Linked DNA regions of Schizosaccharomyces pombe. The gene in region 2 interacts genetically with the main gene of each other region. Each region holds a gene or a part of one and is shown on either strand. Other genes may lie near its edges.

Evidence for each region.
Region 1: of mit1 (region 2) and set2, changing one enhances a phenotype caused by changing the other (phenotypic enhancement), as found in Schizosaccharomyces pombe (one study listed by BioGRID).
Region 3: of mit1 (region 2) and asf1, changing one enhances a phenotype caused by changing the other (phenotypic enhancement), as found in Schizosaccharomyces pombe (one study listed by BioGRID).

The regions. Positions count from the first base shown.
Region 1 is NC_003424.3:5,407,680-5,412,857, reverse strand, and holds set2 (histone lysine H3-K36 methyltransferase Set2), read left to right. Parts: upstream 1-1,792; 5' UTR 1,793-2,043; coding exon 2,044-4,440; 3' UTR 4,441-4,678; downstream 4,679-5,178. Other genes in the region: spd1 (ribonucleotide reductase (RNR) inhibitor), read right to left, coding at 1-369; SNF2 family ATP-dependent chromatin remodeller Ino80, read right to left, coding at 4,803-5,178. UniProt on the Schizosaccharomyces pombe protein: Histone methyltransferase that trimethylates histone H3 'Lys-36' forming H3K36me3. Involved in transcription elongation as well as in transcription repression.
Region 2 is NC_003423.3:980,131-987,030, reverse strand, and holds mit1 (SHREC complex ATP-dependent chromatin remodeller Mit1), read right to left. Parts: upstream 4,964-6,900; coding exon 707-4,963; 3' UTR 609-706; downstream 1-608. Other genes in the region: protein Nbr1, read left to right, coding at 1-387; U1 snRNP-associated protein Usp103, read right to left, coding at 5,138-5,460, 5,520-5,735, 5,782-5,791; TRAMP complex zinc knuckle subunit Air1, read left to right, coding at 6,451-6,672, 6,722-6,823, 6,879-6,900. UniProt on the Schizosaccharomyces pombe protein: Required for proper positioning of nucleosomes at heterochromatic loci and for transcriptional gene silencing (TGS) function of the Snf2/Hdac-containing repressor complex (SHREC).
Region 3 is NC_003421.2:1,642,336-1,646,643, reverse strand, and holds asf1 (histone H3-H4 chaperone Asf1), read left to right. Parts: upstream 1-2,059; 5' UTR 2,060-2,088; coding exon 2,089-2,877; 3' UTR 2,878-3,742; downstream 3,743-4,308. Other genes in the region: osr1 (dehydrogenase), read left to right, coding at 768-1,529; SPOM_SPCC663.18 (GTPAse-interacting protein), read left to right, coding at 3,773-3,810, 3,847-3,878, 3,927-4,054. UniProt on the Schizosaccharomyces pombe protein: Histone chaperone that facilitates histone deposition and histone exchange and removal during nucleosome assembly and disassembly.

The DNA.
Region 1 (5,178 bases), on a different chromosome or scaffold from region 2:
TCTCTCATTGGTACCCTCCATGACAACGTCAAACGGCTTCAACCATTCCGGTTCTTCAAAGTCTTGAGGAGGATTGGCCCAGTTATAATTAGGAATTGCTTGCTCGAATGGACGCTTAGTACCGTTAGGCTCATAAGAAAATGCGGTATTTTTTAAAGCAATGTTTTCAGAAACAGTGTTGTAAAGCGGTGGGTTATAGGCAGGAAACGTGGTTTGTTTCGACTTGTATCCGGTGGAAATTGATTTACGAACCCGCATTCCCACGTCCATTAAGGAGCCTTGAATGCTTTCGGGAAGCTGAGGACGCATTGAAGACTCAGGCTGCTCAACATGAGTCTTTGTGGTCATAACTCGCTTGCTGCTGTGCATTTTTTCCAAAATAAATTGTCGACGAACCTTTGTGTAGTGTTTGGTTGTGGGAGCGTTTGCTACTCGGCTTTGTGACGTTTAAAGCAGTCAAATTTGTCTGGGGAATGCCTATCGAACACGGATCTCTTTACATTTCACTAACCCACGTTATTCATAAATGGTAGAAAATCTACAAAATTTGGAATTGCAGTTTTATTGCTTTTGCGATTGAGATCTTGTTTTCTTGTGGTTCTGCCACTTTTTCCGCACTCTTTATATCTAAGAGTTAAAGTAAAACATTTAAAGCAATTAAATTCGCTTTCTCTTTTATTGCCAACTGCTTTCAAGGTAACAGCTGAAACGTTTGTTCGTTAAATTTGGTCAAACCTTTTGCAAAGCTTGAAATCGCTTCTTCCTTTGTTCTTCACATGTTGTCTCATCGTAACTTGGCCCCTGTTCGGTATGGTTTTCTTATTAACTTTACTGGCACCGTCGTGCCATGAAGGACAAGTAGCTGCATATAGATTGTAGTAAGTATAGCTTGAGTTAAAGACCTTTTAAGATAAGATACACATATATAAACATATGGAATAGGTTTATCTTTTTTTCTTAGCCTTTATTTTTGTTTAATAGCTTTTTAAAATTAACAATGACTAATGCTCTGACAAAATTTTAGCATTATTTCAATTTCGCCAATGTATATATTATGTGTTTAAACAATATTAACAAAAGTGGTTGGGTTTGAAGAAATAAAGAATCTACCTAGAATTAACAGGATGAGCATTTTCAAAATAAAATGACTTTATTACATACATTCCTAGTTTCTTTCTTTACCGATTCTCAAACTTCTGTTTAATTACTGCTTCAATAGATGCAGGTAGATGATGATTTTACATTAATAAGACCAAGGGAACAAAAAGAATACCAAATATAATTCAATACCACATGCTTGGATTTGTAAATTGAACATATTGTAAACTTACTTGTTCTGGGTCTATCCAGTATGAGCACGCTGACTGCCTCACTCAAAATATTCGTTGAAAAAGCTTTTCTTATTCATTCATTGTTGATAATTAGTGTCTATCTTTGCGTACCATATGTTTTTTGGATAAACAACCTACTACAGTTACATAGTATGATTGATATTATTAATTCAAAGATATTCGCTACATAAGGCGCCGAGTGTAAAAAACAGAGTGAATTTTATTACACTAACAGTGTTATTTCTTCAACAACTATTATGGAATTTCTGGAAAAGAATGGCATTCAAATGTTGCGCGTGATGGTGATTTTTTGTAGATGCTTGAATGAAATGAAAGTAAAGATTTTAAAGCCTTTTCTTTTAATAGGTTTCTTTAATATTTAACACTAAAGTCAAGAGTTGTCGTTTACACTCCGGTACTGTGAGCCCCTACGAGGATTCCGCGAGTAAAGAAGGAACGCCGCCAACAGCCACAACTTCTTCCTTGAGACAATTTCCTGATCTCACTGTTTCTTTGACACGAAACTTTGAAACGTTAGAAGATCTATATGTTACGCATCGAGATATTTTCGGAAATTTTCTAAAAAGAAGATTTTCGGTGAAATTTCAGCTGGTCTTCTTTCTATTGTTTTGGCTTCCTTCGGCAATTACTTTTTGTTCAATAAAACTGTAGATTTTTTAACTTTCTCTTTCTTTTTGTCCATTATCATACAATGCAGACGGCATCATCTCTTTCTGTTTTAACTCCTTTGAATGAGGAAAACGTTGATAGGAAGTCTTCTTGGTCAAAAGACACAATCGCTGTCCAGGCAGTCGGTTCATCACCATCTTCTTCGTCATCTCATGATTTCGAAAGTAAAGAGGATGCCGAAGGGATGAATAAAGACGAAAGTGCTCCTTCCCCTTCTACGTCCTCGCCATCGTCTGCATCCTCTCGGTCTCAAAGCAAATATGTTAGAAAAGAGGCACTTCCTCCTCAACTTTTTCATCACCTGGATTCTGCGAAAGATAAGGCGCTAACTACGTTCGAAGAGATTCAAGAATGTCAGTATGCTTCCGCCAATATTGGTAAGCCTCCAGAAAACGAAGCTATGATTTGCGATTGTCGGCCTCATTGGGTAGATGGAGTTAATGTTGCTTGTGGGCACGGATCCAATTGTATTAATAGAATGACTTCTATAGAGTGTACGGACGAAGATAACGTTTGTGGACCATCCTGTCAAAACCAACGCTTTCAAAGACATGAATTTGCAAAGGTGGATGTTTTCTTAACCGAAAAGAAAGGGTTTGGTTTGCGCGCTGATGCCAATTTACCCAAAGACACATTTGTCTACGAATACATTGGAGAAGTTATACCTGAACAAAAGTTTCGTAAACGTATGCGACAATACGATAGTGAGGGAATTAAACACTTTTACTTCATGATGCTGCAAAAGGGGGAATATATTGATGCTACTAAAAGGGGGTCGCTCGCAAGATTTTGCAATCACTCTTGTAGACCTAATTGTTATGTTGATAAATGGATGGTAGGAGATAAGCTAAGAATGGGTATATTTTGTAAAAGAGATATTATTCGCGGTGAAGAGCTTACTTTTGACTATAATGTCGATAGATATGGTGCACAAGCCCAACCTTGTTATTGCGGAGAACCTTGCTGTGTAGGGTATATTGGCGGAAAGACGCAAACTGAGGCTCAATCGAAACTACCTGAGAATGTCCGAGAGGCTCTTGGTATTGAAGATGAAGAGGATAGCTGGGAAAACATCACTGCACGTCGACAACGTCGTAAAAAGGGAATTGACGAAACTAGCAAAATTATTGAAGAGGTGCAACCTACTCCTCTGACATCTGAGTCTGCTACTAAAGTGATTGGCGTTCTCCTGCAAACTAAGGATGACTTATTAACAAGAAAGTTAATGGAACGCATTTTCTTGACTTCAGATCCTAGTGTATGCCGTTCGATCATTGCGTTACGTGGTTACAACATTTTTGGTTTGATGCTGAAGAAGTTCAGCATTGATATTGAGTTTATACTACGTTCTATAAAAACCATGTTATCTTGGCCACGCCTAACAAGAAATAAAATCCAAGATTCAAATATTGAGCCCGTTGTTCAAGAGTTTTGCGACCATGAGAACGAGGAGGTCAAAGATCATGCCAAAACTCTTTTAAAAGAATGGGAATCTTTGGAGATAGCTTATCGAATTCCCCGAAGGAAGCCTGGTCAAGTTGCTCCACAGTCAACGAACGCAGAACCCTCCAATAATCAAAGTAATCCTCCTTTAAGGGATCAGGAACCACAACGTGGCGATAAGGGAGATATAAAATCTGCAATCAATAATTCAACAGAAGATTTGAGCAAGAAACATCCAGCATTACATTCTTCTAGGCCTAGTGATAGTCGTTCACGTTCCAAGTTTGGAAATGACTATCAAAGCCATTCAAAACACAACCTTTTTCGTAAAAATTCTTTCCCTAAACGTCGTCGTCTTTCTAACTCTGACACTCCTTCTGAAACAACTACACCAAATAATGAGCAAGAACAAGTCAGCAATCAAGCTAATAAAGTAGATTTAAACAAGATTATTTCAGCGGCAATGGAGAGTGTCAATCAGAAAAATGTGTTGAAGGCACAGAAGGAGGAAGAAGAAAGAATAGCTCAGCAGAAAAGAGAAGAAAAGAGACGTCTTGCTTACGAAGAAAGTTTGAAAAGACATGCCAAAAAGTTGCATGAAAAGAAGACGAAAAGCTCTCAGGATGCCACAATTGATCATCATTTAACTTCGCATAGTCCTGAAAGCATTGCTTTTAAGGCAGTTTTGGCAAAATTTTTTGCTAACAAAACAGCTAGATACCAAGAGAAGCTTGGTAAAGCTGAATTTAAATTGAGAGTAAAGAAAATGACTGAAATTATCTTGAAAAAGCATATTCAGTTAGTTCTATCCAAAAAAGAAAAAGCTTTACCAGATGAATTATCAGACTCTCAGCAGCGAAAGCTGAGAGTTTGGGCATTTCGATATTTGGACACAGTTGTATCGCGTTCTGGCACTGCGACTACAACTCCTACAGATTCACCCAGTATTGGCGAATCCCCGAAAAAAGCTGCTTAATCGCCAGTATTTTTAACTGCGACAAGTAGCAACGTCTACCATACTATAGTTCCAAATATTGCATGTCTTTAATACCTGGTGTCTAGTTTTTTTTTTCTTCCTTGATGTAATATTTTAATACTATTTTTTTTTTTAAATACAATCTTTAATTTCCAGACATAGAAGCCGTATTTGTGTCTAAATGCACGTCGACTGTTTACAACATTTCATCTAATTATATAACCCTGGACTGGACCGGTATAGCATTTTGATTAATAGGTTAATATTTAGCTAATTAAATTCCATGCAAAAATTGATGTACTATTAGGTTAAGTAATTTTTAATAAAACGGGTTAACGAAACTTTAGCTATACACACACCATTTATTCTTCTAATAGCCATGAAACCATTTCTCTTGAGTTACCCTTAAGGTCCATTTGTTTAGTTGGCCGAGTTTCTCCACCTGAAATAACCACTTTTTGTACTTCCTCCTTTTCTTTAGCACGTATAACAATCCGTTCTTCAATGGTTCCACGAGTAATAAATCTGTAAACGGTGACTTGTTTTTGCTGACCGATACGATGAGCTCGATCCATGGCTTGACTATCAATACTAGGATTCCAGTCTGAATCATAAAAAATAACAGTATCAGCGGCAGTTAAGTTAATACCCAAACCACCTGCCCTTGTTGAAAGTAGAAATACAAAGAGTTCGGGCCGTGTTTGCCATTCTGTAACCATATCTCGACGTTGACTAATT
Region 2 (6,900 bases):
CCTAAGGTTCTTAATTTCGACTTCAAGTTAGTTGAGGACTCCATTCTCCCCTTAGAATTAAGCCCTGGCTGCCCGTTTTATAAAATATGGCATATAAGGAATACTTCTTGTCAATCGTGGCCTTCTCCGTTGTATGTCAAGTTTAATGGTGGAGACAAACTTTTTCCAGGAGACAATCCATATTCGTTTCCTATCACTTCTTCCGTTCATCCTGGTGAGGATGTTAATTTTACAGTTGCTTTGAAGGTTCCTGAAAAAAGTAACAAAGAGATTTTTACCGCATTTTTTAATATCTGCTCCGATGATGGTAGCGTTTTTCACAAAAGTCTTTGCGCCTTCCTTCGTGTACCGAAGTCTTTTAGCAGAATTAGTAAGTCGTCTTTTTGAAACCATTCGTAACGCTTTTTATGTCCTGTAGAAGTTTAGTGTGGAAGACAACGATAACGAAACTGATTTCAGTTTTATATTTCTTTCTTTTGTCCACTTGTCTGGCGGTTGTTCGTATATAACCGCCGGTTTTAAGTTCATGATTTGCTTCAGAGTTGAATCACTTGTTACCATATTTGATCCTACCTTGTTATAATGATCTTGATGGAAATGCTATATATGTTTAAAATTTATATTAAAAATTATATATTAACGAATAAAATGCAGGATACATATGAATATGCCAGATTAAATAATAGTATACATTGATGATAAAACTCTAAAGAGTTTTTGCTTCATTAATTATGGATTCCTTTATGATTACTTTCGATGAAAGTTCATTAGTTTTGGCACTGCTTGATACAGTAGGTTCCTCCTTTTTTTGTAGAAACGAGTTTAATCTAGCCATAGCTTGTTTTTTGATGTGAAATGGTTCTCGTGATTTGCTAAGCGAATCTTTTAGTCTATAAATCGCTTCCTTATTTCGTAACATAGGGCACGTGTCCCTTCCACTAAAGTGAGGTGTTCCACATAAAAAGCATATTTCTAATGGCACAATGCTTAATGGACAATGTGCTGGTAAATGTTTAATACCACAACATCGACAACGTACATTATCAGACAAAGAAGACAGTAGAAAAAAGTTGTCAAGAACTGCTTTAGACAAAGATCTTCCAACCAGTTGATGATTTTTTTCAATTATTTCGTAAGGTGGGTAAAAAACTGGATCGTCTATCAGTTGCATTTCCGAATCATTAATATACTCTGAAGAAGTTAATTTGTTAGCCACCTCTAAATTGATGGTGGATAGAGTTTTGTTAAATTCATCTTCTTTGGGAGTTGTTGCTAATAGAGATTTAGCTAAGATAGAGTCAAAATGAACATCTGCAGACTTTTGAGAATCAGATTCATCATTTAAGTTTTCGATATTTACGCTCGAATCATATTTGAGTTTTTGCTTATCAGATAAAGTATCTGTTATCGAACTGATTGTCTCAGTTTCTATGGGAAATGGGGAGCCTGGTGATGATCGATCATTAACGGTATAATCAGTATCGTCGCTATTATCATAAATATTTAAATCTTCGCCATAATGGATTTTGTGGTGTGCACGAAGTCTCCTGTTGGAAGTTGTTTCGTCTGTTTTTTCTAGCATTGCATCCTTCTCTCGTTGCTTAAGTATTACTGACCAGACATCTTCTTCATCAACAAGAACATTTTCTTTGACTTCATAATGATTGGAAGATATATGTTTGTTATCCCAAACACGAAAAAAGCCAAACTTATTGCTTTTTATATCTGATTCATCAGTTGAAGTATCTTCTTGTTTCTCAGCTTCTGAGATAAGTAATTCTACCGAATATTCATTATACTTAATAGACGGTTCATCACCAGCCTCTTCAAATAATGCACGAGCCCCATGCCGCAAGATACTTTCTAAATCTTTTTCTGAATTATGATTTTGATCCAATGACTCAACAATTAAGTGGTCCAATACAAGCTTCTTTTGAGCGTTTTGAATGATTTTTTCCTCTACAGAATCTCGAGTAGTTAACACAAAGACAAGTACCTTTTTTTTTTGCCCATATCGATGAGCCCTTGCAATCGCTTGCATGTCTTGATGAGGATTGAAATCAGGATCTAGTATAATAACAGTGTCCGCACTAGCTAAATTGATGCCAACTCCACCAGCACGGGTAGAAAGTAAGAAACATGACAACTCAGAATTAGGAGCATTAAAAGAGTCGATTGCTGACTGCCTTTCCATTTCCGATGAGGCGCCATCAAAACGTGCATAGGCTATGTTTTTATATTCAAACCAATCTTCAAGGATATCGAGTTGCTGGATAAATTGAGAAAACAATAATATACGATGCCCGCGAGTTATCAATTTCGGTACCAATAAGCGTAATATTAAAAACTTACAGCTGGCTTCTTCCAGTGAACGCATAGCAAGTTCATACGGGAGATTACGGTCTTCAATATCTGGTGAATAAATGTACGGATGAGCTAATGTTTTTCGAAGTTGCATCAAAATGTTGTTCAATGAAGTAGTCCTTTGCCCTCCAGAAGAACTGGTATTAGCATAGCCGGTAATATTACGTAGCAAAGACAAATTTTTTGAAAGAATCGATTTGTATAAACCTTTTTGAACAGGTGTCATGGACAAAGGAATAATTACTTCAACCTTCGTAGGAAAGTTATCCAGTACTTCGCTTTTCACTCTTCTTAAAAAAAACGGCTTTAAGATTTGATGAAGTTCAGTCACCTTTTCCGTATCAATAATGCTGTATCTTTTTTCAAGCTCAGCAGCATTTATTTTCATGGGATTTAAAAACTGCAGTAAATTAAAAAGTTCCCGAACATTATTTTGCAATGGCGTCCCGGTTAAAAGAAGCTTAAAGTCACTTTTAACCGAAGAGAGGTAATAAAAGAGGGAAGATTGATCATTTTTTAGTCGTTGTCCTTCGTCAACAATTAAAACTTTCCACTGAAATTTTCGGAGCAATGAAATTTCACGTTCAACATTTGAAGCACTTATAACGAGGACATGAGTGCTTACATGTTTTGGGTCTTTTTGATTGATTAGACGATAATCACGGACTAAACTTCTGTTTTTTTCAGAGCCCACGAGTACATTAATTTGTAGAAAGGGAGCCCATTTTTTAAGCTCTCGTTCCCAATTTGCAACAGTGGCATGAGGGACAATAACCAGTACCGGGAAGCATTTATGTCTGTAAAATAAAACACTAATGAAAGATATTACTTGTACAGTTTTACCTAAACCCATTTCATCAGCTAAAATACAAGGATGATGTGTGTACCATCGTAAATAAAGCCAGTTCAGCCCTTTCAGTTGATATGGCATTAGTGTACCACCTTTGATAAAACTTGGTTGAGAGTGCCACTCAAGATTAGTAAATGGTAAATCAATATTTATCGAAGCTGTAGGGGCTTTTTCGATCCATAGACATTCCAACAAGTCCGAATACCCTTTTAACCACGCTTTCCAGCGATTTCTATCTGTTTCTTTAGGAGGTGGTTCCCAATTTGACATATAATAAGTTAAACCACGCCAAGAAACAAAGGCGAATGTAACTTCAGAAATTGCCTTCAGTTGATGTTTTTTTGTTTTATATTTTGCCGTTCGAGCATTCTTTCCACTTCTATATTGAACATCCCAAACCTTATCGATTATTGTATACGATACTGGAATAATGGGCTTAGTTGCGTCGTATGAGGCATTCTCCAAACCATCGAAATTTTTCTTTTTAGCTAATGAAATACCGGCTAGCCATGAAGCAGAACACCAAAAACAGTGAAGGTAAGACTTACCTTTGCTTCGAACGAAATACTCTCTAGACCAAAAGCTCAAGTCCGATGTACTAACAAAATTATTTGAAAGGGTAGCTTTTGAAGGATATAAACTGTTTAGAGTTCTCCAAGCAATTATCTCTTCAATATCACAAGGATGCATAGAACATTCATTACAAACAAGTTTTTTTATAAAATGAGTAATTGTTCTCTGAATAGACAAAGGATTACTGTCCAGATAAAAAAAATATTCGACACGCCTACATCGAAAACACCGAAACCTTATAGACTTGCAGTAATTGACTAAAATTGACAGAGATTCCCTATCAGCAAGGGATGGGGGGATAACTAGATCCTGTCCAGAAGAAACGCCTGAAACAAACCCGGTATTACACAAAACGTCCTTAGAGTTTTTGGAACATAAAGGACATATAAAACCATTTTGCTGAGAGTAATTACGCGTTTCTTTATTTAAAGAAGGGAGTGGAGAACAGTCATAGTGGTATACATTTGAGCAATGATCACAGTAAACAAAATTTTTACCAGAGGAACGATGTTCACGTCCATGACATTTGACACATACACAGACGTGTAAAAATTTGATAAAATCAAATCCGTCAGAGTAAAGAAGTGAGAAATAAGGAGCTTTATTATCGTTTTCTGTGGACTCAATTTCCGAAGAACTTAGATCGGAGCTACCAAAGTCGGACGTGTCATTGAAAGATAAATGCGACAACGATAACTCATTATGCTCTTTTCTATTAACCTTCTTATTTGTATCAGATGAAGATGAAGTTGCACTGTCAGAAGCCGTTTCATCACTGACAAATGAAGGATTAAGTGCGCAGTGAAATTCCTTTCCGAACTTAAATTTCTTGGTACGTGTTGAGTCCCTTAAGACTTTACTACCATTAGACTTCAGTAAATAATCATTTTTCTCTTCCTCATCCTTATCGGTTGAAGTCATATACCCATGGTACCTCTTTCGAGATTTGTGTTTTAACCATACTCTTAAACAAGCTTTTCCATTTTTATATTTATCAAGTTCATCTTTTTTTATCAATGCTTCAACACCCGCCAAGAATTTAACACTCAGTGTGCTGTCATTTTCGTGCAGTATTTTTTGAACGGTGGTTTCAGACGCGTCATAATAAGGTAGTAAAACATCAAGCGGTTCACGACGTACTACTATTTTACATAAAGAATCATCTTCTTTTGGCATGCTTTGAGATGAATATCTAAATATTCTTGGTAAATACTGTGTATTTGGAGTTGTCCTTAAATTTCACTACGTAACGCAAAGAGAAAGAATTACCAGTAGTAAACGGTTATAAACAATAGCTATTATACAGTACATTAATAGTAACAAACAAGTTTTAATCTTTTAGATGTCATTTTAAGCACGTACAAACCTTTGATGACTTCTTTGACCCTGATGGTGGGTTTTAGTAAAATGGTTATTAGCATTCGAATGAGTACGCGCGCGTTGATGTTCATTTGTCTGAGGAAGAGATTGCTGCTGTTGTGTAAGTTGAGTGTTAGAAGAAGCTGTAGTCTGGGGAGCTGAAAAAGCTACTTGGTTTGTTAAATTTACAGCAGGCATCATAGGGACGAATGCAGCAGCATTCATAGCATTCATTCCTTTAGGAGCCATATAGGTATTTGCGGATACAATGTAGGGCGGTGGTGGACATCCTAAGTTAAAGACATTATATTTGGCTAAAATTCGGAATATTAGACTTCGTATTCAACAAAAGTATTATAAAGTAATAACTTACGAGGAAACGCATAAGCATAAGGAAGGTCTAGCGAACCATTCCCCTTTTTTAAAAATCCAGAGGATGCCCTTTCTTCAAGTTGTTTTTGGGCTTCTTCTTGAGCTACTTTCGTATAGTAGTCCTGAACATTTTGTATATGGGCTCTTCCAGCATTGTGTGCTTTTCTAACTGATTGGCTATCATGAGTGAGCCAAACTTGGCAGTAATCACACAAATCTAAGCATTAATTAGTTTTCAATTATTGTTATTCATCGTATCATACATCTTGGCATTTTAGCGTGTTTGGCTGTTGTTGAGTCTTGTAATAAATGTGAGCTGTGTTGAAACGCTAAAATGATTTAAAAAGAAATTAATGTCAATTAGCAACAACTATACAAAGAACGTTCATAGTTAAACATTGAATGTTAAATTACTGTTTATCTATGCTTTACAAAGTGTTGAAACGAAGCTCTCGAATTTTCAACTACTTTAAAATCCAACGCCTTGAAGAGTCGGGAAGGTGCAATCATTTAATATTTTAATATAATTAAGTTACTGCTGTACTTTCAATATCTCTTCACGATCAGGGCTTTTAAGTACCAGACATTCTTGGTTATGCATTAAGTGTTGCATTTGAGAGAACAATTGTAATTTGGAGTATAAGTTATTTATTGAATTTCATTTATTGTCATGCTCATTTCAATGAAATAAACTTCTCATGAGAAAGCCAGATATAATCCATGTAAGGTGAATACTCACACCTTAACCAAAAATTTTTTGCCTTTACTGAAACTATTAAATTTCCATTTGATAGTTAAATACTTGAAGTGTTTTATGTTTTATTTGCTTTTAAACTGTTAAATTGATTGGGAATATTGTGAAGTAAACTACTGGCCGGCTGTTAAGTGTTAAAGAAAACTGTGCTTGCCATTATTACATTGCTTGTCAATATATGGACATGACTGTTTCAAACCAAAAAGCAGAAAGTGATGATGGTTCAGACATCGACGATGCGGCCTTGTTACAAAAAATTAATTCTTTACCGATTGACCAGAGTATCACAAATTCGGTGAGCTTGGAAAAGCATGATTTTCAAGGAAGTGATGACCATGACTCCTCTACGGATCTTTCCGATAGTACTTTGGAAGATGTGGAAGGAAGTGAATGGGCAGACGTATGGATTGAAAAGTTTTTTTTTAATACTTTTTACTAATAAAATTTAGGTGAGCAGGGGTAGATACTTCGGGTCAGATCCCTCAGAAAGTATAGTTTGCCATAATTGTAAAGGGAATGGTCACATATCTAAAGATTGTCCTCATGTTCTGGTATGCATTTTGATCGGACATTGTTTTTTTAATAGTGTTACTAACTGTATTACAGTGTACGACTTGTGGAGCAATTG
Region 3 (4,308 bases), on a different chromosome or scaffold from region 2:
GGTACTTTGCTCTCTAGATTCCAGTGTATGATTTGTTCAAACAATTGTTTTTTGTTAATTTCATATGTTCTTACAAATGTTTACGAGCATAAAAAGTTTGAGCGAGTCCAAGGTGCCACTTGGATTGTTCAGCAGTTTTAGATCTTGATACGTTTTATTCAACCTTTGGATATATAAAGAAGGGCGTCGCATATAAAAAATTCAAGTGTTCATACAGCAATGCTTAAATCGGTTGCAAACTTATATTTTATCTTAAAATTATTCTATTTCTATGTTTTTTTTGTTTAATAATTTTTATTGTGAAAGGACTTCAAGGTTTAAAAGAGTTGTTTTTTTGTATCCTGATTCAACGCTTTTCTCCTATGGCCAATGTCTCAGCATTATCAATTAAACAATTTTCAAATAAATTCTCCCTTTATGATACTTTATCAAGGAAATTAAAAGAAAGGTGCATTTAAAGGAATACTATTCAGTATGCAAGCAGTATCAAGGAAGCAGCTGACAAACCAATGGAACGGGTTATAAAGATTAGTTGCAATATCCATATTATATGGCAAAATATCACCTAACGCTCTACGTGAACTACTATGAACCTGCTGATTTTGGAAGTATATTCAATTATGTAAGCATCAAAATTCACGGTTCAAATCACGTAAGCATAATGATTTGAAGAATTGGTATATAAGCACGAAGTTAATGATAAATTGCCGACACCAAATTACACTTTTCAAACGGATTCAAGGATCATTCAAATATTGTGTTAGAATATGTCTACTACCAACAAAATTTACTTTATTGCAGGAGGAAATCGAGGCATTGGACTCTCTCTTGTTAAGGAATTGAGCAACAGAGAAGGAACAGTTGTATTTGCAAGTGCCCGCAAGCCTGAAGCTGCTACTGAATTACAAGAATGGAGCAAGTCTCATTCCAATGTGCATATTATTAAGTTAGATATCTCCTCTCTAGAGAGTGCTAATGAAGCCGCTCAAGAAGTTGCAAAAGCTGTAGGTAAAGTAGATGTTCTTTGGGTAAATTCGGGCATTTTTCATTCTTTCAACACTGTTCTGAATACTCCTGATGATGTCTGGAACTCTCACTATAAAACCAATGTTTTAGGACCAATTCATGTCTACCAAGCCTTTTATCCTCTTGTGAAGAAAGGAGAATCTAAAATCATTGTTTTTACTTCATCATTAGTTGGATCCATGGGTGCTTTCTTCCCATTTAACCAATCTGGTTATGGCCAATCCAAGGCTGCTTTAAATTTTACAATGAAGGAAATTAGTTTTGAGCTACAAGATGAAGGATTCATAGTGATTTCAATTCATCCCGGAATGGTTCGAACCGATTCAGCTCAGGAAGCTGTAAATCAGCATGCTGAAGCGAAACCGGAAATTTTAGATATCTTTGCGAAACAGGCCTTGGCACCAGACCAAAGCGCTTCAGATATGTTGAAAGTTGTAGACAATTTGAAGCCCGAAAATAATGGATTTTTTTTCAACTATGATGGTACTACAATTCCATACTGATGGAAATTCACATCATTAACAAGTCATTCGGATTTGCTGTTAAGCTGCATCAATATTATATAACCGAATGATCGAAGGAACTTACAATAACCCTAAATATATGTTTTAATCCGCTTGTATATCTTTTTTAATAATTAGAGATGAAGGAGGTTATGTCTATTTTTTATGTTTCACATACGAGTTGTTTTTGCACAATGAAATTTGATGATCATATTAATTGTACATTGCATGCATTATTAATGAAATAGAAATTTTTATTAAACAACGGTTATGTTTAACTAAACTGCTCTGTAAGTTCTTCGTACTTTCGCATAAAATACTTAACAATGGTTATGTTTTCTATTGTTTACCGAATAGTGAGGCATTGTTTAGATGTGCCTTCAGTATTTATATTTACTGCATTTTAATCCTTATATGTTTGAATCAAATAGGTGTTATTACCTTAGAGCACGAAAAGCGATATAAAATAGTCAAGCGTATCCTTAATTATCCGAACTCTACGAAACCTTTCTTCACCTACGCTGTTCTTGGCAATCGCTTAGACGCGTTTCACTTCGAAATGTCAATCGTGAATATCCTTAGTGTTAATGTGCTAAATAATCCGGCAAAGTTCTCTGATCCATATAAATTCGAAATTACCTTTGAATGTCTGGAGCCGTTAAAAAGCGACCTGGAATGGAAGTTGACATATGTAGGTAGTGCGACGTCTCAAAGTTACGACCAAATTTTGGACACGCTACTAGTGGGACCTATACCAATCGGGATTAATAAATTCGTTTTTGAAGCTGATCCTCCTAATATCGATCTTTTACCTCAACTCAGCGATGTTTTGGGTGTCACAGTTATTTTACTCTCTTGTGCATATGAGGATAATGAGTTTGTTCGAGTAGGTTATTATGTCAACAATGAGATGGAGGGCCTGAACCTTCAGGAAATGGACGATGCAGAAATTAAAAAGGTCAAGGTTGACATTTCTAAAGTCTGGCGCAGTATTTTAGCAGAAAAGCCAAGGGTGACTCGATTCAACATTCAGTGGGATAATCCCGACTTTGACGATGCTCCACCAGTTCAGCCTGACGCGGACGAAGAGGAAGAAGAGGAGGAAGCTGATGAAATGGAGGAAGAATTCGATGAAGAGGGAGAAGGCGATGAGGAGGAGGAGGAGGAAGACGATGGAGACGGTGATGGAGAAGGTGATGGTGATGGAGAAGGAGAAAATGATGGGAAAGGATCGGAAGAAGAAGAAGAAGAAGAAATTGATATAGAGGAAGAAGAAGAAGAGTCGGCTCTTGCAAATGCTTCAGCTGCGGAAGAGAAACCTGAGGAGAAACCAGAGACGTCTCAGTAAAATGATAATCGGACTATTTTTTGAATGCTAATACTAATATTGACAAGAACTAATCCGATAAAGAACATGATTACTTTTTTGTATACTCTCTTTTAGTTTGCGCATATATATCGCTCTACCCGTTATTTTTTCGATGTAAAATATTCATGACTGGTGATAGTGTGAGAATAAAAACTATGGAATGGGAAAAGAGGAATAGCATTTTTTTTCCTGTTACCATAAAGCATTTTTCATAACACATCTTTTATTTAAATTCATTTTTGAACCGTCGACCTTTCCGTTGCATAATGGAGGGAAGAAGCATCTATTGTATGCCTCTTCCAATCGCCCTAAACGCATCATTTGTACCAACGTTCCATATTTTGGAACGGAGTTCTATTAGATTATTATTTTCTTTTTTTCCCATGTAAATTGTTGAAAGACTTTCGCATCCTGGTGTATGAAGTGTGCATTTCATGTTTTTCAAAACATAATTAGGGCACAGACGCAAGCTTTCTCTCCTCGATTTATCCTTACGGGACGGGATCTTTTTCCAGTTTATTAATGTGTGGATCCATTATTAGTATGTTCCATATTTAACTTATTCATCCAAAAGACAGCAGCACTCATTCTAGTTTTCGCCCTATGTATATTTGTTTATTGCAAGACCCATCAGTTGCGTACTCCAATGTAATCCGTTCGCTAATAAAACGTATTATGACATAAAACGCTATTTAAATATTGCGTATAGCAATACTCAACTCAATTAAGGATAATGTCTCTTGCAGTGGCCTCTTTAAATTGAGTGACACCCCTAAGTCACAGCAATGGGAAATGACATGTATTGACGCTACGCTGGTAAGACACTTCCCAACCTCCCATTTTCCGCAAAAAAACAAAAAAAGCGCATTACTCAATGAGTACAGATTCCTTGCCAAGAAGTTTGATGGAGCAGTAAGTGGTTTTGCTAGTTCTTTGCTAAATTGATAGGAAAGCGATGGAATTGCAACAGCAATTGCAAGGTACGATGGCGGTGCGTTTTGGAGAAAGAAAAGACTAACAATTGATAGCTTTGTTGGATGAGATCGATCAAAACAAACAGGAATCTGAAAACATTAGTCGAGAAAGCGAGTATCTGTGCCAATACATCGGCAGCATGATGGCCTTTCAGAATCGTCAGACTGTTCCCAAGAAGTAAAGTCGTTTAACCCTCTTTATGAAGCAACACTTGTACAGAAAGAGTTGTTGATGCACCATTGAATTGATTAATCGCTTTTTTTGATGTTTTTTGTATGATTCGTTCGATGAAGAAGAAAAAAAAATAAGGTTCGTTTGGATAGATGCGTAAGAACGCTGTTAAAACTGCGAATTCTCAGAAAAGTTTTTGGACGAATGACTGGATTACTTTAAGTGTTTGTTTTCCGTTGGATGGATCAGCCCTTTAGCGGCCTT